7 separate regions of the Mus musculus genome follow, and all the other regions are reported to be linked to region 3. Evidence: microRNA targets listed by miRTarBase, many of them from high-throughput screens and not tested one by one. Region 3 holds a microRNA gene; each other region holds the end of a gene's coding sequence.
The links. Region 3 holds the annotated microRNA mmu-miR-149-5p (UCUGGCUCCGUGUCUUCACUCCC, at 2,796-2,818, opposite strand). A microRNA usually pairs through its seed, bases 2 to 8, with sites in the 3' UTR of a target mRNA and lowers its output. Matches are read on the target gene's strand: a 7mer-m8 pairs with bases 2 to 8, a 7mer-A1 pairs with bases 2 to 7 and ends in A, and an 8mer does both.

Region 1 (4,065 bases), not on the chromosome of region 3:
GTTGGGAGTGTTCAAAGATTTGAACATCATCTCTGCTCTGGAGAGCCCAGCCCAGCCCCCGCTCCCTCCTCCAGGTTCTAGAAAGGCTGATGGTTATCTTCTTATTCTGCTCCAACAGGTCCTCTACAGTCTTCAGGAGGAGCAAGCCAGGCTCAAGATGAGGCTGCAGGAGCTGCAGCAGCTCAAAAGGGAGCGCACAGGCTCTCCCGGAGCCAAGGTCAGGTGGGAACTGAGGTGTTCCTGGTGGTAGAAAGGGATTGAAGAGATGGCTCAGTGGTGAACACTTTACAGCTCTGGCAGAGGACATAGGTTCAATTCCTGGCCCCTACATGGGGCAGCTCATAACTACCTGTAACTCTAGTTGCAGGAGAAACAACACCCTCTCCTGGCCTGGACGGGTACCTGGAGATACACACACACACATGCACACGCACATGGATATATTTAATTACTTATTTTCTTGCTATGTGAGCTCAAGAACATTGTTTGATCTCTTTGCTCTCAGTTTTCTCATCTGTGAGGTGAAGTTACCTACCTCCCAGGCTTGCATGAGGACGAGAGCTTGTATGAAAACTGGCTGGTGTGTCGTGCCTGTACCCACACAATCCAGCTCTTCTATGAAGGCTTTCTGCACTGCACATCAATCAAACAGAATCAGGGGACACATTCTGCCCAGAAGGGAGTGGTAGGGACCTCTCCTACTTCTCAAGGTTGTTACGTACCTTCCTCTCCCAACCTCCAGATCCCATTCTCAGTACCTGAAGTTCCTCTGGTATTCCAAGGCCAAACTAAGCAGGGCAGGCAAGTGCCCAAGTTTGTAGTTTCTAACTTGAAGGTCTGCTGCCCTCTGCCTGAAGGTTCTGCTCTGGTCACCTTTGAGGACCCCAAAGGTTAGCCTTGGTGTGTGGGGAGGCTCCGAGGGGAGGCCATAAGGTTTCCTAATAGTGACCCTGTCTCTCCACCCACAGTGGTTGATCGGTTGCTACAACAAAAGGAACACAGAGTTAACTTAGAGGACTGCCGGCTGCGGGTGCAGGTCCAGCCCTTGGAGCTGCCTGTGGTGACCAACATTCAGGTGACAGAGTGGCAGGGTCCTCCATGCAACAGGTGGGATTCAGCATTTGGGTCCTATGGATGAGTGGGTCAGCTGAGCCTGCCCTGTCTCCTGCTAGGTGTCCAGCCAGCCAGATAACCACAGGGTGCTCGTTAGTGGTTTTCCTGCTGGACTTAGGCTGAGTGAAGAGGAACTGTTGGACAAGCTGGAGATCTTCTTTGGCAAGGCCAAGAATGGAGGTGGGGATGTAGAGACCCGGGAGATGCTGCAAGGGACCGTCATGCTAGGGTTTGCTGATGAAGAAGGTAAGGGTCCTACAGAAGAGGTAGGGGGCCAGGGTGCACGAGACTCGAGAAGCCTTCAAGGCCACCCTTCCCTGTCTCTCACAGTGGCCCAGCACTTATGCCAGATTGGCCAGTTCAGAGTCCCACTGGACCGGCAGCAGGTCCTCCTGAGGGTCTCTCCCTATGTGAGTGGTGAGATCCAGAAAGCCGAGGTACGTGAAGGTGGGGCTGGGGAAGCGTCTCCTTGTCGGGGAGAGCTCAGGGCCCCCCAGCCTCTCCAGCCTACACAGGAGCCTGAGCTTCCAGACCCATCCCATGTTTTTTGTGGGATGGTCCTTGTTCCAGCCTCTGCTCGCCACTGCCCTGCATTCCCATGAACCCTTGCAATTCATTCATTTCCTGTCTCTTTTTCTAGATCAAATTCCAGCAAGCCCCTCATTCAGTGCTGGTGACAAATATTCCTGATGTCATGGATGCCCAGGAACTGCATGACATCCTTGAGATCCACTTCCAGAAGCCCACTCGTGGGGGCGGGGAGGTGGAGGCCCTGACAGTTGTGCCTTCAGGGCAGCAGGGCCTGGCTATCTTCACTTCCGAGTCAAGCTAGGCCTGCATGTCCACCTGCTGGGGACTAGGATCACTTACTGCCTAATGCTACCAAGAACGGTCAAAGTGCCAACCTGGTGTGATGGTCTTCTTTACTTCAAGATAGCTGAGAGAGAGGGCAGAACGCAGACCTTGACACTGGCTTTCCCATGGCTCGCTCGTGCACGCGCGCGCTCTCTCTCTCTCTTTCATTTGAGACTAGATTTCTCTGTATATTCCAGACGTTCCCTCTGTAGACCAGGCTGGCCTGTAACTCCAAGCTGCCTGTCTCTGCCTCCAACTGCTGAGATTAAAGGTGCGCATCACTACCACCCATTCTCCAGCAACTCTCAGATACAACATCTGGTCAGGACTCAGGGTTTGGCTTTTTATTGACACAGACACAAAGGCAGCTGTGGTAATGGGGTGGGGTGGGGATGGGACACAAAAGCAGAAATCACACTTCCCACATGGAGGCCTCAATTTGACAACAGAGAGGCCGGGTCCCTCCCTCCACACTCCCTCTGACAGTGGCTGGAGTTAAGAGCTTTCTCTAATCCAAGCTCAGAAGCAGCAGGTGACCCCCACCTAGCCTCAAAGGTCCCCACCTTGGCTCCAGTAGCCCTGACTCTTTTAACCAGCCTAGTTATTCCCTTGCCGGAGCTCCTCCTTCCCTAGCAGTGTAAACAAAGTTTGGGGCTGAACAGCAGAGCTGCCTCCAGGCTCTGGGAAGGCAGCAGCCTCCCTACATAGCAAAGGAAAGAAATGTGCTTGAATTCTCACTTTGGTCCCAGAATAAGACCCAGCGTTGTCTCCCAGAACTCTGGCTGATCCAGCTCACTGCCTTTCTTCTCCACTGACAGAGACAGGACAGGCCACAGACCACAGTAAAAGCAATTGGTCCCCAGAGGCTGGAGCTGTCCCCTACCCCCAGACCCCCGACCCCTGGCACATACACAGATTTTTGGCAGTGTTGGACTGGGGAGGAGTAGGCCTCAGCTCCACCAGGACGAGGAAGGCACTGGGGAGAAGGGTGGAAAAGGAGCCAGAGATAGGGGCTGCCCCTACACATACACACACATATACAAGCACAGGTTTTCAGATGCTAAGGCACTGAGACAAATCCAAAGGCCTCAGTGAAGGGTGGGGTACCCAGTACCCCTCCCAGAGCGTAAGCTAGGGAGTCGGTCTGATTCCTGTCCTTGCTGTAGGAGGCAGCAAACTCAAGCCGGAAGAAGTCTAATTGTGCTTACGACATTGGGGACAGGAGACAAGGTTGAATACTGATCAAGTCCAGGGGTGGGCCTCGTCGGCCTGGGCTGCGGGGATACTACGGGGGACACAGGTACATGCTGGACTCACACAGATCGGCCCCACGTCCTGAGCTGACGCATAGATTCTTTGGGTGGGGGTGGGGCAGGAGGGAGGATGAGGCTGAGGTGGAAGCACACAGGATAGGGCAGGGAGGGATTGGCTAACCTTGGCACAAAAGCAGCATGGTAGGCCCAGGGAGAGGGGGGAGGGCAGGAAGCAGCCAGCCTCCTGCTGACCCCCCCTGTCCCCTTGGCAGGGCCCAGACATCCAAGTGGTCACTTCCCAACCTCTCCTGAGGGCAGGAAGGGGTGGGGGGGAGGGAGAGCCCTGAGCGAAGGGCAAGAGCGAGCTCAGAGCAGGGAAGCAGTCATCAGCAGAGACCTTCTCTGGGGGAGGGAGGGAGGGTAGAGCATCGTGACAGGATGAAATGTGAGAGGCTGGTGGGCAACACGACAGGACTTCCCATCTTCTCCCTCCCCGGCTCTCCAGGGCCCTCAGCCCTCTGGCCCTAGGTCTCCTTCTCAGGCCCAGGAACCAGGAGGACTTTGCCTATGTTCTTCTTCTCCTGCATCTGTTTCATTGCATCTGCCACCTGGAGAGAAAGAGAAGACCGTCCCTGATGCTGTCCGCCCCACTTACAGAGCCCGGCTAAAGACGACAGGAACCATCTGCCCCTGGGTCCTCAAGCTCACCTTCTCGAAGGGCCAGACTGAGTCAATTCGAGGTTTGATGTGGCCCTGATTGTACAGAGCCACGAGGCGGGTGACCACGCTATTGACGAGTTCCACCTCTCCATCCAGGTAGCCCAGGTGGAAGCCACACACAGCT
Region 2 (4,065 bases), not on the chromosome of region 3:
GTAAAAAGATATAATAAAAAATGTTTATTTCCTAGTATCTTCTGACTGCTGTGGTGCCAAAGATCTCTAGTGTACTTAAACTTGATGACTCAGAACCCGTGACAGATGCAGAAATGTGATCCCCCACACTTTTATCCTAGAAGGGGTACAAAGCTGTTGTGTTAGCCTAAAATGATTTGGGGATTTCTAAAGTCAGGGATGACTTTAACTTTTAACATAAGTATATTTGGAGGATAGGACGACAAACATATATATAGGTGTACTCTAAGTGTTCACATGGGAATGAATAATACCAGAAACAGAAAGTTATATATATCAAATGAATATATTTTATCCTGCAGAAAACAAATAGCAAACATTTGTATGTTAATTTAAGAATTCAAAAGAGCAGAGTAAATAATTACTAATTTCAAATTCAAGTAGACTCAAATTGGATTGTAGGCTTGACTGAATCACCGCTAAAAAGCCTGTTACATACACATACACACACACACACAATGAAAACACTTATTTTTTTTTCCTAACGTTAAAAATCTTAATTATAAACTAACACATTTCAGTGTGAGTTTCAATAATTCCCAGGGGGAGAGTATGCAAGAGAGCTCTCTGTTGAGCTGTGCCGTCTAATATAAACAGTATGCACAGGCAACTAAATAAAAACTTAGCTCTTAATCATTTGTGTCAAGTGCTGGCCAGCCATCTGGCTGAAGGTTACTGGACTAAACACCAAATAAAGACTATTTCCATCATGATAGAAAATGCTATTTGTCCAGATGTGGCACATACCTATAAACCCTGCAGGAGCAACATAGAGGCAGGATTCTGTTCAAGATGCTGTCTTACTGGATCATACTGCTAGAGGGCGCATATTTTGTATTCATCTCTCACCTACCAGATAGTAAATCTGAAACTACTTTTCCCCCCTTAACTGTTGGGTTGATGGTTGGGCCAGAGGCCTCATCGTACGAGGAGTATTCGATCACTGTCCATCACAGAATTGATATGACTACTTTGCTTAATTACCACCAAAACCCTTATTTAAAACTTATTTATTGCCAAATTCAAAGTTTAATGTGAGAATCCACATTAAGAACCACTAAATCACCTCATGTCTCCCTTCTTTATGGATCACTTTTAAACGGGGTCCTCAACAGATTAGTAGTATGTGTGCTCAGGTGAACAAAAGGCCTAGTACTAAGTGGGAGAGTATGAAGAATCTGGGCTTCATCTGCAATTTGATTTTGTGACATTATGATTTTAGAGGCCCACAATTTCTTTTGATAGCTTATTCCCACTTTATTTACAGAACAGTTGCTACATTTTCAGACTTCTCTATCCTTCTCAGTTAATACAGTAAAAAAATACATTACAAGGCAAAAATACTCAGAGTAAAAAATAATGCTGAGGAAAAATATCTAAGCTCTCTTTATTCTGGTGAGGCAAGGAACATTTCTAACCACTGAGTGCTGATTTAAAAACTCATCTAATTATCAAGACAATGCAAAGCCAGGCCCGGCTGCTAAATGCGTGCCTGGAATCCCAGCACTTGGAAAGCTAAAGCAGAATAACTGAGTTCAATGCCAGCCTGGGCCATCAAGTTTATTCCAGGCCAGTGTGGAGTGATGCTCTTATCTCTAACAACAAAACAGAATGCGGAGCAGATTTCCAAAACAACTTTTTTCTTTTTTTTCGAGACAGGGTTTTTCTGTGTAGCCCTGGCTGTCCTGGAACTCACTCTGTAGACCAGGCTGGCTAGAAGATAACTTCTCTCTTTTATTGTTATTTGGTTCCTCAAGATAGGGTTTCTTTATGTAGCTCTGGCTGTCCTAGATCTGCCTGCCTCTGCCTCCTGGGTACTGGGATTAAAGGCTTTCCACTATACTCAGCTTACTTCGTGTCTAAGGTTGTTTGATCGTACTAAGTTTTTTATATAAGCCAAAAGCATGGACCAACTTAAAGGGTTTGCACTGGGATCCTCTGTGGAGCTGAGTTCTACCACCTTCTGACAGTGCTCTAAGTGAATAGCATCATTAGTTACCTGAGTAAAATCAAACTCACTAGTTCACTTTTATCAGATGAAGTCTATGGCCAGCTCTATAAGAGTAAGCATTCAATGACACCAGCTATTTTAAGTGTTAGATTATATATAAAACACAGGGTTTTTTTTCCCTCCACCTCTTGTGAGGTGCGGCATGGTAACAATGTCCGATCTGCCTGACCTATCAAATAAGCACTAGTCTTACCTTACTAGAAAATTAAATATGTAAGAGAGATAAAAATGGAAAAAAGAGCCAGGTGCGGGTATCGCATCTTTAATCATAGTCCTTGGGCAGTAGAGGCAGGCAGATCCCTGAGTTTGGTCTACAGAGTTCTAGGACAGTCAGAGCTACATAGAGAAACCCTGTCTCAAAACAAAAAGGGGAGGGGAGTGCTGGTGAGGTGGCTCAGGGATTAAGAGCACTGACTGCTCTTCTGAAGGTCCCAAGTTCAAATCCCAGCAACCACATGGTGGCTTGCAACCATCTGTAATGAAATCAGACGCCCTCTTCTGGAGTGTCTGAAGACAACTACAGTGTACTTACAGATAAATAAATCTTTAGAAAGAGACAATCCACGAGCTGAGATCCTTCAGAGGCTACCTTCTGTACAACAGCACGCCAATTAATGTTTTCCAGGGCCGAACAGCCAGGACTGAGAAAGTACACAGTGATGGCTTTCTGCTCAGACATGTCATACCAGTGTTTTGAAGAATAAGAGAAAAGGGCACCAGCTAAATACTGGTTACCAACCCTCAGAGACTGAATGAAGGGCAATGTTCTATTTTTATTTGTATGTGTGAGACTGGGTCTCTCCCTATATAGCTCTGGCTGTCCTGGAATTTAGACTGTAAAATTTGAATTTGGCACTAGTGGTAGAGAGAGTCACACTACAGGCATGGAATGAGAATCTGGAAAAAAACCCAGGAAATAATACAATTAAGGCATACAGAGAAAAGTGATAGCCTTAACAAAAAAGGAACAGTGAGACTATTTCTTTTAGCATGGAATAACAGTGATGTGGAAACACGTCCTGTACAACAGCATTTGGGAGTGAGGTCGGTATGGAGGCACACTCCCCTGAAAGAGTCCTGGGGTGAAGAGCAACAGATGGCATGAAAAAGGAATGCCCACTTGACTACCCAGGCCCCAAGATGGCACACATGCCATCAGCTGTTCCTGTCTGCACCACTTGTAATTTCTTCTCAACAAAACCCAAAAACAACCAAACAAATGGTGGTAATAACCCCGATGAGTTTTCAATGAAGCAACTCTAGTGAACATCTTCTCGTTCCAGCCTTTATCTCAGTACTTGGTCAACATAGGCTTGCTGGCTTCTTTTCCTTGCCTTCCAGACCTTCAAGGTATTTTACTTACTGAAGAAGAGACTTCCCAATTAAACTTTATTAAACTCAATCTGCTTTGTGTTCTGTCTTCATAAATAAATGTTTTCATAGCAGCAAGTCAGTATCCATTATTGTGAAGTATGCTTTCAAAGAAATTTACACTCCATCATGAATTGTTTGTTCTCCATGGAGTTCAGTTTGCCAAATGTAGATAAAGTGCACAGCTCTCATTAAAATTCAAGCCACTCTGTCATGTAAATACAATTAGACGGCGAAATCTCACCACCTTCATGGCAGTCCTCAAAAACCTTTAAAAAATAAAAATAAAAAGTCTATTCAAATTCAAGTTTTAAAATATCAGATCCCCACTGATTTAAAGCAATAGTAAATGAAGAAAAAAAAGAAAGAAAATATTCTTTGAAACAGATAAGGACTGAAGAGCATACTGTAACAGTGCCTACTTTGTGGTCATGGTTAACTATAAGCTTTTATATTTTGGTTTGCTTGGTTCTCTTGGTTTTTGCTTTTTAAGACAGGGTCTCACTATGTAATCCTGGCTGTCATGGAATTCACTATGTAGAAAAGGCAGGCTTCAAACTCAGAGATCCAACTGCCTCTGCCTCCCAAATGCTGGGACTAAGGTATACACCTCCCTGCCTGGCTTGGAGGCATATTAACACAGC
Region 3 (4,065 bases):
CTGACCTCCCAGGGCCTCTGATTAAGATTCAGGGATGGGGTACCACAGGTTATCATAGTTATCAGAGGGCTGAGCCTCAGACTACGAGTACTGTGTGACATAGTCCAGCATCTCAGGAATGCAATGAGAGTCCTAGCAGGGCTCCCTGAGAGCCAGCTCAGCCCTCACATAGAGGGAGAGGCTGCCCGACTTAGGTTGGGGACCTGATAGAGGCTTTCGAGCCTGGCAGGTGCCTCTGCCCGGGGGAGGAAGAAGAAATCCAGCCTCTTCTTAGCTCAGGCCAGTCTCAGAGGCCACCTGACTGACAGCAGAGTGGAGTGCCCCATGAATGTTCTGCAGGGCCTGTGTCAGCATTCTGCAAGGGCCCTGGGTACCATTCTGGGGTGAAGAAAAGCATGCTCTGCGCAGGCACTGGGTCCCAAACAGAGGCCACTCAACCCTGGCCTGAGGTTCCCACTAGCTGGACACATTCCCAGTCCCCATAGTGTTCTGGCTGAAACTCCCTCCCCCGCCATCTATCCTGGGCTGGTGAGCTGACCTGTCAGCCCTTGGTGGCACTGCAGCAGTACCATTCAGGACAATATCAACTGCCACTTGCTGACAGAGGGTTGCTTTGGGCCTACAATTGGCCTCAAAGTGTCTACCATGGAGCCCTTACAGCACACACCTGAGAGTCTCCTGGCATCAGAAGAAAACCTCAATGGGAGAGGAAACCTTCTGCTAAGGCTATAGTGACACCAATTTACAGGGAATCTGAGGCTTGGAGACTGGCTTTTGTCCCAGTTGGGGGCTGAGCTACTCAGGACTGGGCCTATGCCTGACCCCACTCTGTTCTACTCCCTTCTCATAGGGTCACACTGCTGTCTCTGAGCCTAAAGACAGAGCCCTACAGTCCCTACAAGGGACTGGGTGGATCAAAAAGGCAGAGGCAGTGGCCCAGCCTTAGGTGAAAGGTCTGAGAAGAGGGAGCGGTCAGCAGGGATTCTAGAAGCTTCCCTCGTGCAGGAATGCTGATTTTGATGTTATGGGGAGCCAGTGAAATGCAGAGTTTCCAGAGCCCAGAGTAGGTGCCAGGGCTGGTACCTGGGCTTTATCCTTGCTGACGGGTTGATGGGAAAGGTGGGATGTGAAGAACTCCAGGATGTGATACTGCAGGCTGCCATCAGAGGTGGGGGACTGAGCCAGAGGGGAGTGGACATCTTGTCAAGAAGCATGTGGGGGCAGGAACCTGTGACCTCAGGATGAGGCCATTATGTGTTAGGCCCCATTTCTATGAACCCCCCTCCCCTGAAGCCAACTGGGAGTGGAGATCTCTGACTAAGGAGAGATTCTGAGGTTGCATTCACCCTTAAGAGCTTGTTACATGATCACATCCTTGTCTTTAGCACTTAGTAAGCACAAGCATTTATGTGTGCTGGATGGTGTGTGTGTGTGTGTGTGTGTGTGTGTGTGTGTGTGTGTGCATATTGCAGAGTGGAACTGTGTACAGCCTCTGTGATTTTGACCTGACATGGAAGGTATATATCCCCAGATGCCACCCCTCCATCCCTAGGTAGGGCAACCTTCAGATCTGCTCTTCCAGGTCTCAGGTTGAGGGCCTGGCCTAGCCCTTCTCCTGCTTACTAAGGCATGGGAGCTGTGCTTCATCCCAGAACCCTGGGGACTTTTGGCCTCACAGGCTGAGTCCCACCTGGTTTCAGGGTCCCCAAAGGTCCACAGAGCAGGGCAGTGGCTGACAGCTGGTAGAAGAACAGAAGGAATTGTATTCTGATTCAAGGGTGCTTGGGGGAGTCAAGAGAAAAGGGAGTCAGAGATGGGAGGTGCACACGGAATGCCCCTCCCACCACTCCCCTACCTGGTACCCTCTGCTCCTACCACACTGCTTCCTCCTGCCCAGGGCACCTGCCTTTCACAGGGACTGCAGGTCCTGGGAAGCAACATGTTATTAAGCACCCAACCTCAAGAAAGGGCTGGGTTGGTGCCCAGACAGCTGGGAGCTGCAAGCCTAGGTCCTGCCACTTGATCTGCATCCATTGATTGATTCCCTTCCTTCTAGAGTAGGGAGGGCTAAGCAGAGATTATCCACCCGCAAGCAGGCTACAGGCACAACAAGGTACAGGGCCCAGCAGGGCCTTCTATTTGCTCTGCTCCGGGCCATGGTCTGCTGGGCTGAGGTGATATGCCACATCTCTCTCTTTGAGTGGTGGGGTTTAAGGGTTTTTCTGTTAGAGGAGGAATCATGGGGGGCACTGTAGAGGATGACCCATCTCTGACTTCAGCAGTGAGTGGGGAAACAGCTATGGGGATGGAGGCTGCAGGTATCAGGATGGGGCCATCCTGGGCTCAGCTGGGACAGAGGCACTCTGTGTGTGTAGGCCAAAGGTTTTAGGTGGAAATATTGAGGACCAGGCTGCACAACAGAGCACTGGCAAGAGAGAGGTGGGCACAGCCTTACTGGCCCCTCCCATGGTTTCTGCTCCTCTGACATCCTTCTCCATCTTAGTGGTCCCAATTGCCACCCCTCACCACATAGACAGAAGAACGAAGCTGAAACAGGAAGAAGTTAATTAAGGACACACACTCAGAAACAGAAACTCGCCCCACTCCACGGCAGGTTCTGGATAAATGGGACCCATGAGACTTTTGGCCAGCTACTATGAGCATACCCCATCCAATGGCCTCCCCTGCAGCCCCCTGGCTCTGCCTGGCCACCTCACCCAGCCAGCCCGGTGACCTGCGCTGTTCCAGTTGCCCCAGCACCGCCCCCGTCCCTCCCTCCCTCCTCGGACAAACACGGGAGTGAAGACACGGAGCCAGAGCCTGGGCACTGGCCTGAGGGCCCCGGGCAGGCTGGGTCAGGCTGCCCAGAAGCCCATGCATTGGCAGACCTGCTTGCTGAGGGTCAAAGATAGAGGAGCTGAGACCCAGCCCAACTGGAACCATAGGTGCTCAACATCAGAACAGCTAAGGCAGGCTCTGCAAAGCTCTCTACACTTCCAGGAAAGCACTGGAGTACATACCCATCGTAGGAACGTCTCTCCGTTCTACCCTACCAGCAGCTTCCTCCTTGCCAGCCCTGAAGGTGGGTGGGAGTGGAGCGGCAGTATTGTTCCCCACTGACCCCGCCCATCTCTCTCAGAGTTGGTTTCATTTTTCCAGATCTTTCCCTCCTGGGTTTTTGGGGGGCACTACCCTCCCCTGGCACTCACAGGTTTTATTTGGGGAAGGGGGTTGTTTGTTAATGGCAGGTTTTCCCCACTTTAGTCCCTTTTCTAAGCCTTGTCCCCAACCCCAAAGCCTCTCAAATTCCAAGACCCCTGCTTCTTGTGACACTTAGCATGGCACCCCATTGCAGCAAACCCATGGGCAGCAACTGCTCATTTACCTCCTCCCAAATCTGGCTGCTTGCACCCCACCCCCGGCCCCCCACTATTCTCCAGAGCAGACAGCAGCTTGTGGCTTCCTACCTTTCAGGGTCACACCCTCCTGCCACCTGCTGACAGCTCCAGCTCCTGCTCCTCCCTCACAGAGGCAGCATCCCTCTTGGTCATCATCCACAGTCACCCCAGGACTTTAGCAGAGTCCAGCATCCTGATGCTACCCACAGACATCTCTGACCTGACCTCCCCTGACACTTCAGGGACCCAATGCCTTGAAACCCTCCACCTTCTGAAGATAATGCAGAGTCATGCTACCCCGCCTCTGGTCCATTCTTCTAGAAGCTTCCTGTGCTCACGGGGGAGATGCAGAGTGGAAAGCCCACTTCCCTCACGGCCCCTAAAACACTCCAGCTGGCACGGCTTGGGGGAGTGTAGGGGCATTCGGAGTATAATCTCTCAGCACCGCAGATAAGGGAGAGGCACAGGCTACACTCCCCTCCCCAGCTGCTGGCTCCTAGAGCAGGCCTTTCTGTTGACTGGTAGGTTAGAAGTAAACCAGCCCTCTGTGCTCCTGGGTTTTCCAGCCCCAGAGGCTGAGAGTCTCCAGGACGTGACAGCCTGGAGCAAATGGCCCAGCTTTCTGGGGGACTACTCACTGCCCAGGCTCCAGGGGCATTTTCCCATT
Region 4 (4,054 bases), not on the chromosome of region 3:
AGAAATGTGAACAGCACAGTGTATAATGTTGATGGATCACCCAGTTCACCTCTGCTTTCGTGTAAAGCTAGCAAAACTTGAGCATTAAAGGGTGAAGCCGGCAAGAAACAGCCAGGATTAAACAGAAAAGGGGGGCGGGGCGGGGGAGAAAAAAAAGAAAAAAATTCAACATTAAAAAGATGTTTTGAAGGGTGGGAGGTGGCACCCACTCTTCCAGAGGACCAGGATTTGATTCTCAATACTCACATAGCAGCTCACTCCTATCCCAGAGGATATAAGACCCTCTTCTGGTCTCCTAGGGAACCAGGCATGCATATGGTGCACAGATATACATGCAGGCAGAAATCCCATATACACAATAACTTAATTAAAAAAAAAAAGATTTTGAGCCAGGTATAGTGGCACAAAACTGATACAAACAGATCCTAAGTTCAAGGCCAATCTTTTCTTTTTTTCCTTTCGCAACAGAATCTATACTGGTCTGGCTGGCCTAGAACTCACTATATAGACCAGACTGGCCTCTAATTAAGATTGGTCTACTTCTGCCTCCTAGATGCTGTAATTAAAGGTGTATTACACTATACCTGGCTAACATAGGTAATTTTGAAGGTCCAGTCTCTACAAAAGAAGGAGCCAGATATGGTGACAAACACTTACAATCCTAGAGACTGGGAGATAGAGGCAAGAGATCAAGAATTCAGCTTGGCAGGGCTGGAGAGATGGCACAGCAGTTAAGAGCATTGACTGCTCTTCTAAAGGCCCCCAGTTCAATTCCCAGAAACCACATGGTGGCTCACAACCATCTGTAATGAGATTCAATGCCCTCTTCTGGTATGTCTGAAGACTGCTACAGATGAAAAAAAAAATTCTTTTCAACTTGTCTATACAGCAAGTTGAGGCTAGCCTGGTATCAGAGACTAAGTCTTTAGAACAACAATAAAATGGTGTATGGCGGGGAAGGGGCAGAAAAAGACATCAGTTCAGTGGCACAGCACTTGCCTGGCATGTCTAAGCTCAAGTCCCAGTACCACAAAATTAGTTTTGAAAGAGGATTAACACAGGAGAATATAGTCAAGTGTTTAGGAGTATTTCACCTTTGGTTGTGAACTCTTTAGAGGGAAGATAGCTCTAGGAAACACTTCTGTCCAAGGCTGCAATTCTCCAGCAGAAACAAGCTACTTGGCACAACACATGCTGGAGGCACAGATGGGTGTCTGGCTTCTTTACACTGAGTGTTGAAGATAATACTAGAATCCCGGTTCCCTATTTCTATATATAACCAGGAAAAGTACTAAGAAGAAAACAAGGATGTTTTGGTAATAGTTAACAGAAAACCAATACTCCATGAACTTTTAAGAGAAAAAAATTACAAAGAGCATTAAAACCAGCAGGACACTTTTTCCCTTCATTTTTTGCATTACAAGGCATTAACTCTCAGACTGTATCCTCGGTCCTTTTATTTTTTATCTTGAGTCAGGGTCTCACTAAGTTCCCAAACAGGCCTTGAACATACAGTACCCCTGTATCAGTCTGGGACTGTGTACTTTTTTGTCACCAGGCCAGACTTCTTAGGACTAATCTCATTATTATGGTTTATATTATATAGGACTAAATATCATTGTTATGGTTGCCCAAAGGCTAAGATTTTGCTTTAAAAAATATGGTCACTGCAATGTACATGCCCACTACTCCTGACTACTCAGTGGGTGGTCCTTTCCTCTAGTTGCCAGTCAAGATCCTCAGGAGCTCTGGCTACTTCTGTGCTATTTTCATCTGCCCTAATTACTACTAGCCTTGGTTGCCTGAAGGACAGATCTGCTCTCTAACCATCCTTCATTTCATCAAGTTAAGTACAGACATCGGTCACTTATCCAGCATTTGATATTGCCTCTAACATCTTCAGACAACTACGGACTACAGAGAGAAAAAGCTCACCCATGTGAGGTATGGGTTAGGTGCTATTCTCCCACCACATTACCATTCACAAGTTGTTCCTGGCTGACTTAAGTAAGGCAAAGCTTCACTGTCTGTCTACCATGTCACTGCAGTACAAGCTGCCTTCTCAACGGTGCAGTATAATTGTTGGCATAATTTATTCAAGAACACAGAACTCAAGTAGCAGCTGAGCAGGAAAGCAGTGTTAACAAATGCTGTGAATGGGTCTAGGGTTTGCATATTATCTGGCTCATCTGTGGACTGAAGCACTCCATCCATTCCTCTCATTACTATCAACAACCCGGTGGCTAGATGCTCTGGCCCAGACAGCTTTGCTTTAAAAAAATCAAACGCAACAACAAAAGCAGCTCAGTAGCTGACGAAGTCTGGAATTAAGGCTACTTCAGCGTTTATTCTTTTTCCTCAGCGTTGGAGCTGGGACAAGACTGCTCAGCTCCAAACTCTGTTATTTCCTTACTTTTAGTCCTGATTCTCCAGCTTCCTCAACTATACAAGAAGAAAGAAATGAAGAGAAGATGGGCATTTTTCAGGGGACAAAAAGTAGAATAGGAGCAGAAATAATAGCAAAGCAAGAGTAAACCAAAAAGGAAGTAGTTTGTTGTGAGAGAAGGTTGTGTCAAAAAGTTAATATCAAGACCTGTCGGTTTCTGAGGCCATAATCTTCTATGTTTTTAAAATAAGCTACAACTAAAAATCCTCAGACTCAAGTGGAGAGGACAGGAACATTAATCCTCTGAGGACTTGGTGGCAAATCCACAAGCCATGAGGCAGTAAATTAAAGAGCATCACTGCTGCAAGGACGTAAAAGCCAGTGACACTGTGGCTAGTGGCTCCTCTCCAAAAATTCCCAACTTAAAATAATGGCACGGAAGGGAATGGCATGGATCTGCTGATGCCTCTTTGGTACAGGAATGCTTTGGGAGGCCATAAAAATTGGCAGGGTTAGAGGGTGCCCAGCACCTTGGCACAAGCAAGCACCAGGCAATCACTCACACCTACATAAATACAGTCTAAATATGAGGGATAAAGGAAAGAATACACACACACCACGTGATAACTGTATCCAGCCCCATCCTATTATCTTCCTGCACTACAGCTTACAGACTCCACAGTTAATCTTGTCATTTAATAACAAATTGATACCACTTTACAGAAGCAGAATCAGGGATTGAAAGTAACAAGGCCAAGAAAGTGTGAGGGCTAAACAGAGCGCCTTGACAGATTTAAATGTGAAGTTTCAAGCCCTAAGAGAACTGAATTGTTATGGGAGGGTATGTGAGGATAGTCAGGAGCGGCCCAAGACCACACCAGGGACCCTGTATTCTCCTGGCAGAGCTAAATGAGATCGGAAAAGACACAACAGGTAGGTTGCCCTTAATAGTTTTCTAAATAGATGGACAATATCCTTTCTATGCCAGTATGTCAAAACAAAGGCCAGCTGGTCATCAATATAATCTAATAACAATCAAGAAACTGAAGTCATCGTCATAATAAAATCTCCCAAAGCAACCAACCCCAAAGATCATGACTCTAAGGTGATTAAAAAGTTACAGGGGAACAGAAGGAAAAGATCAGGGTGAAAGAGAACACTATGGGAACCACACAGCATGTGAATGACGTAATGCCTGACGTTCACAGAGCTACACTTAGGAATCAGATCATCAGTTATATTACAGGAGAACCAATACCAGCATCTCCCCCGTGGAGCACAGTGATGAGCGCAGTGGTTTATGGATGCGTTTAGGATGGAAAGGGGTGGGAGGAGAGAGAGGAGGCAGGAAAGTAAAGGTATTATATACAAAGAGAAACGACAGAGACTGCCTCCTCCTTTAGCTCTTCGCGCTTTCTTTTTCTTTGTTTTCCGCATCCTCTGGATATGCGTGCCACGTCAGTCTCTCTTCATAAAATGCTATCACAATCTGTGGACACTTCACGTTAGCTTCTTTTGCAAGAACCAGGTCAGCTTCATCTGTGTCTTTCCTGGAAAGAAAGGGTGTAAGACTTAGGAGACATGAAACTGAGGCAATCTGTCAGTGTCACTGTCTGAGGTTAGCTGGTTCGATCTCAAAGTAGAAAGGGTCTTTACAGGGCTGGAGGT
Region 5 (4,065 bases), not on the chromosome of region 3:
GGGCCTGCTGCACCAAAGCCTCCAGCTCCCCGCACTGGGGAAAGCAGGCCTTTAGAGTTAGTTAGGTCAGCAGGCAGTAGCATCACTAAACCCTTGCCTGCTTGTGTGTCACTGACGCATGCCTTTGCCTCTGGTGAGGTCACTTCTCTTCTCACCTGTAGCTTGTCTGAAAACCAGTCTTTGCTGAGGATGCCCCCCTGGGAGAATATCTGGCTCGTGGGCTCCATCTGCTTGTCCATGTCACTTCACTTCTTGATCCTCTACGTGGAACCTTTGCCGGTGAGTCATGATGGACCCCGGGCGGGGTCTGGGGTAGTTCCTTTCAGGCAGGGCCAGAAGCTTGACCCAGCCTTGTTTGTCTCAGCTCATTTTCCAGATCACACCGCTGAATCTGACCCAGTGGCTGATGGTGCTGAAAATCTCCTTGCCTGTGATCCTCATGGATGAGACGCTCAAGTTTGTGGCCCGAAACTACCTGGAACAACCCGGTAAAGAGTGTGTGCAGCCTGCCACCAAATCTTCCTGCTCCCTGTCGGCATGCACCGATGGCATTTCCTGGCCGTTTGTGCTGCTCATTATGCCCCTGGTGGTCTGGGTCTACAGCACAGACACTAACTTTAGCGATATGTTCTGGTCTTGACTGACAGCGCTACATACAGAAGATGTTTAACTTAATCAATTAATTTTTTATTGTTTAAAGCAACTGTCTATTTCTGCTGAATTTTCACATGAACATATTGGCTGGTGAAGGAGGTTTCATATCTAGATTTTGTTTTGCTTTTTCTGACTCCAGTGGGACAAGATTTTCCTTTTTTTATACACATAATTAAAGTGTCCATTGACGTGTACAGAGAACTAACACTATTTTATGCAGATATTTTTTTGTAGATGAAAAAGCATGTACAGTGTTCTGTTTAATACTCATACTTGTACAAAGATAGTTGAGCCAGCAGACATTGTCAGCAAATTAATTGGCAGCAGACTTAGGAAATGAATGTGTGTGGTTTTTAAAAGAAAAAAAACTAAATAGCATGTATTGTGTCTTTTGCATGATTCTCTGGATTTAATTTGGTATCACAGTCTAATTTTTATTCATAAGCCAATTTTTCTGCACTGAGCAGAGTCCTGCTACCTCAGTCAGTATTTTTGGTTTGCCACTTCCTGCACCCTCAGCCTCTGTCACCCCCAGCCCACCCCAGCCTGCTCGGCTTCTTCTGTAGGTCTGATGGTTCTGTTTACATCCGTCTTCACGAGAGGTTTGCCTGTCTCGCTTGTGCAGAAAACATTGCTCCAGATCCAATCGACTGGGTTTCTGTCCCTTCGCCTAGTTTTTAAGGTTATTTATTTAAATGTCTAATGTATTTTATTGTAACAGACATTGTTTTGCCAACATTGCCTATTCAATGGCACTTCACAATCTAGTTTAAAAGAAAAATAAAACATTTTAAATGGACAGAGAAAAATAACTGTCTTGTTCTTAATGGCCTTGAATTACGTATAATCAGTTCAAATTTCTGAGCTTCTCAGCTTAGAGCCTTAGTTTCCTGTTCTGAGAAGAGTCCTGTTCTGCCGCATAGTAGGATTTTATTTATAATGTATAGGCACGATCTGTCATGTGATATACATTACTCAAGTTTCTGCTGGCCCGTTGTATGTAGGTTGGTGTAAGGGCAAGTGTGTGTTTATGTGTGTGTATGTTTTGTAAAATCTGTAAATAGCACATGACCAAATGAACATATTGTATAGAAATATTTTTATTTGACTATGGCACTAACCACCACCACCATGACTGATGAACGTTTGCGCATGTTCAAGGTCAGTCTTAACGGCAGTGTGAGTCATTAACAGTCCTAACTGTGGTGTTTTCCTCCAATGCCTTCCAACATCCATCAACTAACGTGAGTATCTTCCCTGTGGGACTGGGGTGCTGTGGCCTGTGTACAGGTGGTGCCACTGATGAGCTGGCCCCTGTTGCTAGTGAGCTGCATGGCTCCTGTGTCCACCAGGCAGCCACTCACTACACAGGCTACCCTAGTGTAGACACTGACCAGGACAGCGATCCCTATGAGCTGTGGGAAGGAGAGCCTTGGGACCTGGCTGACTTCAGGCTGAAGGAGCTGTGTCACCTCTAGTACCAAACTGAGACTGGACACAAACCATGTCACAAGGCTATGGGTTTTCAGTGGCTGAGGAAGACTAGGAAAGCCAGCTGACTCCGCATAGGCAGCTTTTGTCACCCTTCAGGACATGTCTCAACCCTCTGGTGTGCAGAGGCCTGGAGACTGCGACCTCCTCCCTAAGTTGCAGGAGAAAGTGCCAGGTTCTGAGGGAACCTGGCACTGACCCTTCCTTGGGGAGGCCTCTGTGTGCTACAGGGAGCAGTGATTCTCAGGAAGCAGGCAGGTTTTGATGGAGTGGGCCAAACACAAAGGTACAGCTGAGTTAAAGACCAAATCAGAATGATAGCGTGCTGGGCCCTAACACCATGCTGTTCAGTGCCGTTTACGAATGAGTGGGCCCTAAAGGAAATGGACCTCATCCCTGAGTGCTGTGTTGCTTACTGGGACCTGTTCAACCCCAACAGATAGACTAACACTTGACCCATCCAGCCACAAGCAAGGCTGACAAAACCTTCCCCTGGCCCGCATAGACCAAGGCCAACAGCACAGTCCCAGCCACAGGCCACCTCCTGCATGTCCTCAGCCCTGCTCTCACCCAGCACCCTCAAGAAGGGACAGCATTTATTGTGTCAGCATCATGCTCAACCCACTAGGGCAGTCTAGCCTGGACCCCAGCCTTGAACTTTCCCGGAATGGCCTCTTCAGCAAAGCTGTCTAAAGGTTCCACCCTGCAGCCCACTCAGCAAAATTCAGGTGGTGGCCTCCCCGGAGAGCTAGCAGGGCTACTAAGGCTGGAGAAGGCTAGCCATCTCACAGCAGCTGCTATCACAGCACCCTCAAAATAGGGTCTCAGCCCCAACAATGGCACAGGCCTCAGGAACATCTAAGATGGCAGCATTGGCTCGGTGCCTGCAGAGCCGCAGAGCCAAAAAGCATGGTTGCCCTTTGTCGTGAGCTGCCAAACTCCATTAGGACTGACCCCTGCAATTGGGAAACCTTCAAAGCAGAGCTGAGCCTGTAGCCCAGGACTGGCTGCCATAGAGAACAGGGAGGGACAGGAAGGCCTCTCCCCTGGTGCCATGCCACTCACTGCTCCACCTGCCTCACCCTCTGCATGGCTCTCAGCCCTGTACCTGACATGCCTTCTAGTTTCTGCCTCCTGGAACTTTGGTAGGAGGCGGCCCAGGGCAGTCACCAAGCCACTGCTTCTAGATGTGCCTGGGCAGCAAGCACTTGGAACACTCCGTCAGAAATGCTGGTTTTGCATCTAGACCAAATGCAGTGTTCTTTCTGTCTGTCCCTGTTGTTGTGTCTTAACATTGCTCTACGTTTCGAAAAGCTGATTTCCTCTCTCTTTCCTTTTCAGCAATACTGGAGTAACCGCTTCCTAAACCATTTGCAGAAATATAAGGGTGTTCGGGTGCGTGCATGTGCGTTGTTAGCAACACATCTACCAGCCCTCTGCATGACTGAGGTTGGGGAAAAGAAAAATAGAAACAGTCCCCAACTCACTGTGTGATGTGGAGGAAATGTGTATTACCAGTGGGGTTTTAGCTGTTCAATCAAAATAATAACAAATGTACAATTTAGCATAACAAATCAGAGAGCCTCTCCAGAGAAGTTGGTTTCTTTGCTGCGAGAAGGAGGTTCTGAAACCTTATCCAAGAACAGAAGCCATCAGCCAAGTCTCCACATTTCTCTGCAAAATGTCATAGCCTCTCTAACTGTATGATAATTGTAATGCATGCCTTCAGTTGTAAGTGGCCAGATTGCTCTACAGTGACATTGAAACATGCTTTCTAATGGGCCCTGTACAGTTTGCTTATTTATAAATTCATTTAAAACACTACAGCTGCTGAATGGTTACAACATAGGCCTCCAGTCCTAACTTCAGTTGTTTAGGTGTGCAGCCAGCTGTTCCACACTGTATTATTGTAACTTATTT
Region 6 (4,065 bases), not on the chromosome of region 3:
CTGGGTGTGATGCAAGTGTATGTGAAGCTGCAGCAGCAACACACTGTGAAAAAGATGTAACGGTTTCAGATACAGAAAATGTAAGCAGCTCAAAGAACATCTTGAGTCATGATCCAGATGTTGGAACAGATACTATGGAAAAGGAAGAAAAAACACATCATGCTTGTCAGGAAATGGAGCTGAAGGTGGACCAGAGTTCAGAAAGCACAAATCCCACTGAAGCTGAACTGTCTTCAGAGACTCGTCAAGGTTTGCAGTTAACATCAGGGGATGTTGGCATTGATCAATTTCTGAGGCAAGGAGATGAACCTAAATCTGTGAATTCTGATGCTAGTGACCCAGGCAGTGTTCGTTTGGAACCTTTGACGCCATCAGAAGTACTTGAGTATGAAGCCACAGAGATCCTCCACGACGGTGATGATCCTTCAGCTAACACCAGTGACACGGTATCTGATCAAACAGGTGGCAGTCCTGGAGGAAGTAACCCTTGTAGAGCAGAGACAGCAGTAGACCTGGCAGATGGAGAGGAAAGAAGCTGAAGTGACATAGTCATTTCAAGTTTCATTCCCAACAGCACTTAGAACAATAGTGTCTGGTGAGCTCAGGAGTGCCGTGGTAAAGGGCAGCCGAGGGAGATCTGAGGAGGTCTGTCATACACTTCACCTGTGTGTTCAATCTTATTAAATCAGTTTACCAGTAATAGCATGGTTAGTATGAATTTCCACATTTAAAAAAACCTGAATAGAACTTTAGTGAAAACTAAGTTTGTCATCCAAAGGTCTCTTAGCACTTTTTGATAAAATCTTGTTTACCAATATGAAATTATTATAATACTAATTGCTATGTTCATCAGACTTTTCCAACTTTCATTAGTACTAAAAGTCCTCATCACCTGAATATTTCTTTTAGTAAACTTAAAGGAAGAGATTTAAAACCATGCATTTTTTAAAAATACCTTTAAACTGCCTATCAACTGTTACTGTTAATGAAGACTTTGTTTTTACTATGATCCTGGTGATAAAGCATGCTTAGAGTGCTAAATTGGCCTGTTGAGAACTTGGATGAATATAAAAATTAAGTTTGGATTTAATATAACATTCCAATCTGTCAGAAGCATGCAAACAGAATTTTAGAATCTGTGCACCTCCATACAAGTGTTAGCCTGCCAGGCTGTCAGCTTACCTTTATTAAACTTTCAGTGAAAGTGAAATTATGAAAATATAAGTTTATATTTGTGCTTTTAGTCAGTGTATAAGCTGTGCAGAACCCCACCTCAGCCCCCATGAACTAGTTGTATAAAGTAGAAATCTGTTATTGAAGCTCTTAAATAGCTACTATGCTTTTAATATTATTTCAATGATTTTTAGCAATAGACCCATAAAAATGGTCTGGAAACCAAACCAAAGTATGGTAGAATGTAGGCAAAAAGAATTGACCTAAAAACATGCCTCCGCATGTACTCAACTATGTTAAGGGACTTCCTTAATTGTAAAAGTTGAAACTTCAAATGGGACCCTAAAGCATATGTTTAAAAACAAAAAAAAAAAAGTTTGTGGAAATTAGCCTAATTTATCAGCTATTAAGTTGATTTTTAGATATAGAAATGAATATAACAAACAATTTCATTTTAAGTACTAATAAAATTTTATTTTAAATGCTGCATTTTTAATTCTTAAGATGTACTTTGAATTCTTAAACTGTCTAATTGAATGTTAAACGTTTTCAAGGCCTGTTAAAATTCTGTTGTATATAGTAGTTTTTGAGCAGATATTTGCAATAAAAACCTGTCTTTGAATAATTTTATATTCAGATTCCTGTTTGGCTAGCCTGTCTTTGTTGCTGTCGTGTGCATTGTAGGCAGTAGTTCTTGTACACTATAAGCTCCATTCTGTGTGCTTTACTAACAGACTGAACTGAAAACACAAGGGACACACTGCTAATACTTACACAGTAATTCTTTCACATTAAGAGAAAGAATAGTATTGTACATTTATTTTCCTTATCAATTTAAAGAGGTTGAGTAGGAAAAACACATAATTGTTTTCTTGAACATTTAAAGAGAGCTGGTTTTTTTTCATCTTTCCTGCTTCCAATACAAGTTGTAACACAAATCCACCACAGGAAAGTAATTTGCAATATTATAAAACTTTCGAGCCCAGGCATAGAAAATAGTTCACCTATATGAGGACCACTTAATAGCATTCAGTTTCTTGTCAAACCTGTTTTTCTATACTATAAAATTCGTGTACAAAACCCTTAGATCAAAATAAGTCTCCAAAGCATCTAATTCCTTGAGCTTTGTAGAGTTTCATCTCTACCCAATAGCCATATTCAAAGTCACTGATGAGTGCCCTGTGTGAGAAGGAGCTGGTGTTGGACTCTTAGCTGTTCACCCAGAAAATGAAGTAGTAGGGGATAGAGGACAATGAAAGAAGCCTTGTGCTTAGCAGCTTACGTGCTGTACCTTCTTCTGCTATGAGGAAGTCCTCATACTTCCTCCTGAGTAGTCGGGAACTAACAATTCAGATACAAATTCAGATACAAAATCAGCCTTTGAATAGTAGTGAGCAGTCTAGAAGCAAGCATGTCCGCAGTGAAACTGAGGTCTATGTGGTTTGTAGCATGAAAACAGCGGTGGGGAATATGTAACTACTGAGGCTGTTTGTGTAACTATTTACAAAGCAGCATGCTGGGTACATGGGGGCCATAGGGTTACATATACCTACTTTGAGTTTGGGTAAAGGCTAGGATGTACTCAAGTGACCTTAATGTCACTTGAACATACAAGGTGCCTTGCAGGTACAACACTTTAAAGACATTAAGAAGCATCATACTGGCCGGGCGTGGTGGTGCACACCTTTAATCCCAGCACTGGGGATGCAGAGGTAGGCAGATTTCTGAGTTCGAGGCCAGCCTGGTCTACAAAGTGAGTTCCAGGACAGCCAGGGCTACACAGAGAAACCCTGTCTCGAAAAACCAAAAAAAATTAAAAAAAAAAAAAAAAGCATCATACTGCTTTGTGGGGTTTTCTTTTTAATTTATATTAAAACTGAATACTTTTTTCCTTAGGTCATTCTCTTTTGCATCCTTTCAATGTTTTAAGGAAGACCTTGTAAGGTTTTTTCATCCTATGAATTTTAAAAAAAAAATTGTGTGTGTGATGTAGGACTGGAGGTGTGTGCATGTGGTAGGGGGTATGTGGAAGTCAGGGGAAAACTCTGGAATAAATTCTCTACCTTTATGTGGGTTCCTGGGGTAAACTCAGGTCACCAGGCTTATACAGCAAGCCCTCTTCTTGCTGAGCCATCTCTCCAATTCTCATCCCATGAATATTTAAAGAATTATCCTAAACATTATCAAAAAAAAAACCCTGAATATATATATAAATGTGTGTGTGTGTGTGTGCGCACGCCACACACACACACCTTGGCTGTACACACAAAAGTGAAGAAAACAATACCCACCAGTCACTGCATAGGATACAATGCCAGGACTCGAGCCTAACTTGGCTTTGTTCTGAAGCTGGCGTTTCTACTACACCTACAATTACAATTTCTAGCACTAAATATTCTCTTATGAAAAAGCTTTTTGTCAACCAGGCGGTGGTGGTGCACACCCCTAATCCCAGCACTTGGGAAGCAGAGGCAGGCGGATTTCTGAGTTTGAGGCCAGCCTAGTCTACAGAGTGAGTTCTAGGACAGCCAGGGCTACACAGAGAAACCCTGTCTCGAAAAAAAAAAAGAAAGAAAAAAGCTTTTTGTCAGATAACTCTTATTGGTGAGTAAGTACAGTTTCATTTATCATTTCACAGTAGTTATACATATGGAATCAAAGATTTCTTTTTTTTTTTACTTTATAAAAAGTATATATTTTTAATTGGATATTTTATTTGTTTACATTTCAAATATCCTGTTTCCCCTCAGCAAACTTCCTATCCCATCCCCCTTACCCTGCTTTGAGGGTTCTCACCCACCCACTCCCACCTTACTGCCCTAGCATTCCTCTACACTGGGACATCAAGCCTTCACAGGACCAAGGGCCTCCCCTCCCATTGATGCCTGATAA
Region 7 (4,065 bases), not on the chromosome of region 3:
TTTATGCAATAAGGGAGTCAAGTAGAAGGCTCATGTGCTGTCTCGGGCTGCCTATCAGTGTGGCTCAAGCCGCAGGTGCCAGCACAAGCATTCTCAGCAGAACTACCATCCACTTTCCTCCTCAACATAAACCTCTGGGCATTGTGGATTCAGACTGGCAAGTACTCTCCTGATGGGGGGACCAGTGCCTCCTGCTGGACCCTCGCCTCCCTTGAACCTTGTTTCAGCTTTCACATACAGCTCCCTCACTGGGGGCCTCTAGGTAGGACCACTGAGCCACACTCTAGCCCATCACTGGGGGATTCTAGGCAGGGGCTCTCCCACTTAGCCACGCCTCCAGAGCCTCCCTGGGGAATTCTAGGCAGGGCTCTACCACTCAGGGGCTCTACCACTGAGCCACAGCCCCAGCCCCTCCCTGGAGCCATGCTTTAGTACAGAGCTTTCTGATTGGTCCTTGGCTTCTATACGTCCTTCATCCCTTCCTGACTCAGCAGCTAGAGCAATTCAGTCGAAATGAATACTAGATAGTGTCACTCTACGGCTCCTTCCCAGCCAATTGCTCCCACAGACCTCATTCAGCAACCCTGTGTCCCTAGCCTGAGCTACTCTGTGTACAGTGTTCATGATGAGAATGAGAGAGAGAGAGAGAGAGAGAGAGAGAGAGAGAGAGAGAGAGAGAGAGAGAGAGCTGTTTCTTAAAATTGTTTATTTTAAAACATGAAACCCAAGCTGAATAGAGACCACAGAAATTACATGGACAAGAACTTTAGTTATTTGCCAAGAAAAATAAAGTTCCCCACAGAAATAAAAATCAAACCCCAAACCCAGTTTAAAAAATGAAAGCACAGCAACAGTAACACACAGCCATGGCCCTACAGAGGCTGGAGGGGAACTTGGGGCTGGCTCGATTCAGATGACATAGTCCACTGGGGGCAGATGCAGGCAGAGGGACCGTAACTGGGAGGCAATCTCACAAAATCACATATGGGAGGAAGGGTGCGGCACACCACCGCTGTGATGAAAAACAAAGAGACCCTGGTCACCTGTGGCCCACCAGCTAGCCACCTTCTGGGCCGGACAGAGCTGGGACCGGGTAGGGCAAGCTTTGGAGCTGGGGTCAAGAATTGCATAGTGATATGGGGGGGGGGGGGGGCGGGGTGGGCACAGGGAGAAGGGCTTGAAGGATGCTCCAGGCCGGGATCTTCTGCTACTCACATAAACCAGAGAGTGTTGGTTGGGGTGGGGGCCTCCAGTCCTATCAGTTTTCTCAGCCAGATCCCTCCTCCTGGCTCGGCAAGGGATCGGGCTCTGGTTTGGTGGCTTAGCCCTCCTTGTTACCCACCAGAGCTGTAGGGTCCCCTTGGGTAATAGGGACTGGGGACCAATCACAGGCAGCTGGCACTGGACTGCTCACTCCCTGGGGATGTGGGGGTGGACCACTGGGATTGAGTAGGTAAGTGGCACCCCAGAAATCAGGAAAACGAAATGAAGCCAACCGCAGTGGTAGGAGCCGTCTCCTCCGCAGGGGTCAGGGCGAGAAACCCCTGCTTTCATTTCCCCTGCTTCCTTTCTTCAGCCTCGGTGAGTGAAACGTCACAGATGGGGGCACTCACGCACAGAAGGTCAGGACTCCCGAGACAGCACAAGTTCACAGCCACGTCCGGGCAGTGCCCGCCTCTCATGCTATATACATTCACCTTGTGGCCTGCTCACGGCCAGGGGGCAGCATTTGTGCTTCTGAGAGGCCCCAGGGCACACCCAGGCACCCAGGCAGGGATACCCCAAACCTCCCTCCGGACCTTAGGCCAGGAACATACCCATAGTGGGCAGGCTGGCTGCAGCTGGGCTGCTCTGGCCCTGGAGGTTCCTGGCGCCAGGCCAGTTGGAGTCAAGGCCAGGGTCCCCTGCACTGATGTTGTCGTGCTTAGGAGCTACAGATGCCCCGACTGGGACCCCTAGGCCCTCCGAGTCCTCTGCCCACTCCTTTTGGTCCCAGACACCAGCACAAAGAAAGGGATTTTGGGGAAGGAAAGCAACGTGGAGCCTCTCCCCTCTGGGGGAGCTGAAGCCCAGGGGGTTCTGGGATCCGTAGCTGCCAGGTTGCTCCAGGAGGGCCACAGGTCTGTAAACCACTGGGTCCCAGCCTTGCCCCTCCCACCACATGCTGCTCCACTGGCCCGTAGCTGCCCATCTCACAGACCAGAGCTCACACTGGCTGGCTGGGCCAGGGTAGAGGCTCCAGGTCCTGATTTGGAAGCTAATTCAGCCCAGAAGCACAGCAAACATCACACACTAAAGCCAAAAGCACCTTAGGCAAGCGGTGTTCTGGGTGTGGGGGGCTGAGGCCACATGGACTTCAGTCCCCGGACCCCAGGACATGCTCCTCCTGGGGCAGCACCTGCCTGGGGAGGGGTCTCTAGGCCCTTTGAGTAGCCTGTGGGTCTGGCCCCTCCCTGGCAGCACCCCACAAAGAAATGACCACTCTAGCCCTGGCTCCAGGCTAGACTTAGGGTCACGCTTGCTGGCTCAGGGTCAGCCAGGAGTGCCCATGGCAGCTGAGAGTGAGGTTAGTGGTTAGTCCCAGCGGGGGGTGGGGGGGGCCTTCTGAGGCTGGGGGCACATTCACAGCCGTCACAGGTCCAGCCCCCAAGGCTGGGCTCCAGAGGGCACTGCCGCTTGTCCTGGGTGAGAATGAAACCGAGAGGAAAGTGGGCAGTGTCCTGCGTCGCCTATGTCCCAGACTGCCCTGGAGATGACAAGTGTGGTCAGTGCAAAAACAAAGGGGAAGACAAAGCTGCCACTCTTCAGGAATGAATGGGAAAGAGGGTTTGGCACCAAGAAGGTGGCCAGCACTGAGAGGCCAGGGAGTGACCTGGGCTCAGCTTGGCACCTGCTGTCTGGGGAGGGCTGGCTGGGCACTGAGGGAAGAGTCATGTGGGGAGGAGGTGTAAGAAGAGCCCCACCCTAGAGGCAGCTCAGAACCAACAGGAAGAGCCAAGTAAGCCAGGTGGCTAAGGGAAGGCAGGCGCCGGACGTTGCAAAGACCAGAGAGTATGAAGGGGCCGTTCGGTGATGAGCAGGTGGGCGCCAGGCACAGGGTCCCCTGCCTGTGAATGGAGATGGGATTCTCAGGAGTGTGGCGGTAGGGCAGTACCAGGAAAGGCTCGCTGTAGCTGTGGGGAGGGGGACGCCCAGAGTGCAAGGGGCAGCATGAAGGGTCACCTGTAGAAGGAACGCAGGCAGGGTGGAAGCACCCGGCACAGAGCAGGGCTCAGGGAGCCCAAGAGGACAGAAGGGCAGGGGAGACGGAGGCAGGCAGGGTCAGGTTGCTGGTGGCAGCGACTGTCCAGGTGAGCACCCCAGAAGCCTCACTTCACAGGCTGGCCCGGAGCTCATGCTGGGCACCTCCATGCCTCCTGCAGGGTGGGTATAGCGGGGGGGCCTTCAGGTGTGCCTAGGGCTGGCCCGGTGTGGCTTGTGGAAGGTCCAGCAGGGCGGAAGCAGCGGTGCTGGCATAGGAAGGGTGGGGCATTGGCACGTGGGGGCAGATGGCTGGCCGGTGTGCGGTCTAGTGCCCGCTGCCGCTGGAGTCGGGGCGAGGCTGGCTCGTGGCGAGGTATTTGGCTCTCATGCTGGAGGTGTACTAGAGGAGAGAGGGAAGGAGGGAGCAGGGTCAGGTGAGTTCCTAGGTGGGGGCTGAGCAGCCAGCAGCCTCTTTGATGTGGTCCTTGGTAGGGTGAGCCACAGCCGACCCTTGGGGAGAGCATGGTTGGCGGAATCCTAAGGTAAGAGGCCACTGGCCCAGGGCTGGACCAAGGGCTGAGTACAGGTTAGGGAAGTGATGGTACCTAGAGTACAAAGGTCAGCCTCTGTAGCTGAGGCTGGATCACCCAGGCAAGTTCCCTTCCCAGTGAAGGACACCCAGTCCCCTTCTGTCGCTAAATCACTTTCAGAGTCCCAGTCAGATCTTTGCCACCTCCAGTAATTCAGCTCAAAGGCTCTGAATGCATCACACACGCTGAGCACAGGAAGGCCACATGGACCCCATCTCTATACCTCTGCCTC

Region 1: miRTarBase lists Vat1 as a target of mmu-miR-149-5p. Seed matches in the 3' UTR shown: 7mer-A1 at 2,746-2,752.
Region 2: the mRNA of Polr3f is a reported target of mmu-miR-149-5p. Seed matches in the 3' UTR shown: 7mer-A1 at 2,863-2,869, 7mer-A1 at 1,817-1,823 and 7mer-A1 at 700-706.
Region 4: miRTarBase lists Cbx5 as a target of mmu-miR-149-5p. Seed matches in the 3' UTR shown: 8mer at 2,180-2,187, 7mer-A1 at 1,748-1,754, 7mer-A1 at 1,214-1,220 and 7mer-A1 at 481-487.
Region 5: the mRNA of Atp2a2 is a reported target of mmu-miR-149-5p. Seed matches in the 3' UTR shown: 7mer-m8 at 944-950.
Region 6: miRTarBase lists Zfp280d as a target of mmu-miR-149-5p. The part of its 3' UTR that is shown has no 7-base or 8-base seed match.
Region 7: the mRNA of Ttyh3 is a reported target of mmu-miR-149-5p. Seed matches in the 3' UTR shown: 7mer-m8 at 2,522-2,528, 7mer-m8 at 2,490-2,496, 7mer-m8 at 1,286-1,292 and 7mer-m8 at 900-906.

The regions. Positions count from the first base shown.
Region 1 is chr11:101,456,448-101,460,512 of GRCm38, forward strand. Vat1 (vesicle amine transport 1) reads right to left here. Exons shown (of 6, transcript NM_012037.2): 5 at 3,930-4,065; 6 at 2,301-3,829. The coding sequence ends at 3,746. Ifi35 (interferon-induced protein 35) reads left to right here. Exons shown (of 7, transcript NM_027320.4): 2 at 119-217; 3 at 743-890; 4 at 969-1,075; 5 at 1,173-1,359; 6 at 1,444-1,550; 7 at 1,754-2,254. The coding sequence ends at 1,945. Among named protein-coding and RNA genes, the nearest start is that of Vat1, 7.7 kb to the right of the region's middle.
Region 2 is chr2:144,538,237-144,542,301 of GRCm38, reverse strand. Polr3f (polymerase (RNA) III (DNA directed) polypeptide F) reads right to left here. Exons shown (of 9, transcript NM_029763.3): 9 at 523-3,690. The coding sequence ends at 3,613. Rbbp9 (retinoblastoma binding protein 9, serine hydrolase) reads left to right here. Exons shown (of 5, transcript NM_015754.2): 5 at 1-37. Among named protein-coding and RNA genes, the nearest start is that of Rbbp9, 11 kb to the left of the region's middle.
Region 3 is chr1:92,849,134-92,853,198 of GRCm38, reverse strand. Mir149 (microRNA 149) reads right to left here and starts at 2,821; the gene lies at 2,756-2,821. The region is part of intron 1 of Gpc1 (glypican 1); the gene reads right to left.
Region 4 is chr15:103,195,856-103,199,909 of GRCm38, forward strand. It overlaps Cbx5 (chromobox 5), which reads right to left. Exons shown (of 5, transcript NM_001076789.2): 5 at 1-3,936. The coding sequence ends at 3,786. Among named protein-coding and RNA genes, the nearest start is that of Smug1, 35 kb to the left of the region's middle.
Region 5 is chr5:122,453,726-122,457,790 of GRCm38, reverse strand. Atp2a2 (ATPase, Ca++ transporting, cardiac muscle, slow twitch 2) reads left to right here. Exons shown (of 20, transcript NM_001110140.3): 19 at 162-279; 20 at 365-1,467. The coding sequence ends at 640. Among named protein-coding and RNA genes, the nearest start is that of Anapc7, 33 kb to the right of the region's middle.
Region 6 is chr9:72,361,969-72,366,033 of GRCm38, forward strand. Zfp280d (zinc finger protein 280D) reads left to right here. Exons shown (of 22, transcript NM_146224.5): 22 at 1-1,803. The coding sequence ends at 539. Among named protein-coding and RNA genes, the nearest start is that of Gm27230, 26 kb to the right of the region's middle.
Region 7 is chr5:140,619,889-140,623,953 of GRCm38, forward strand. It overlaps Ttyh3 (tweety family member 3), which reads right to left. Exons shown (of 14, transcript NM_175274.5): 14 at 689-3,643. The coding sequence ends at 3,569. Among named protein-coding and RNA genes, the nearest start is that of Lfng, 15 kb to the left of the region's middle.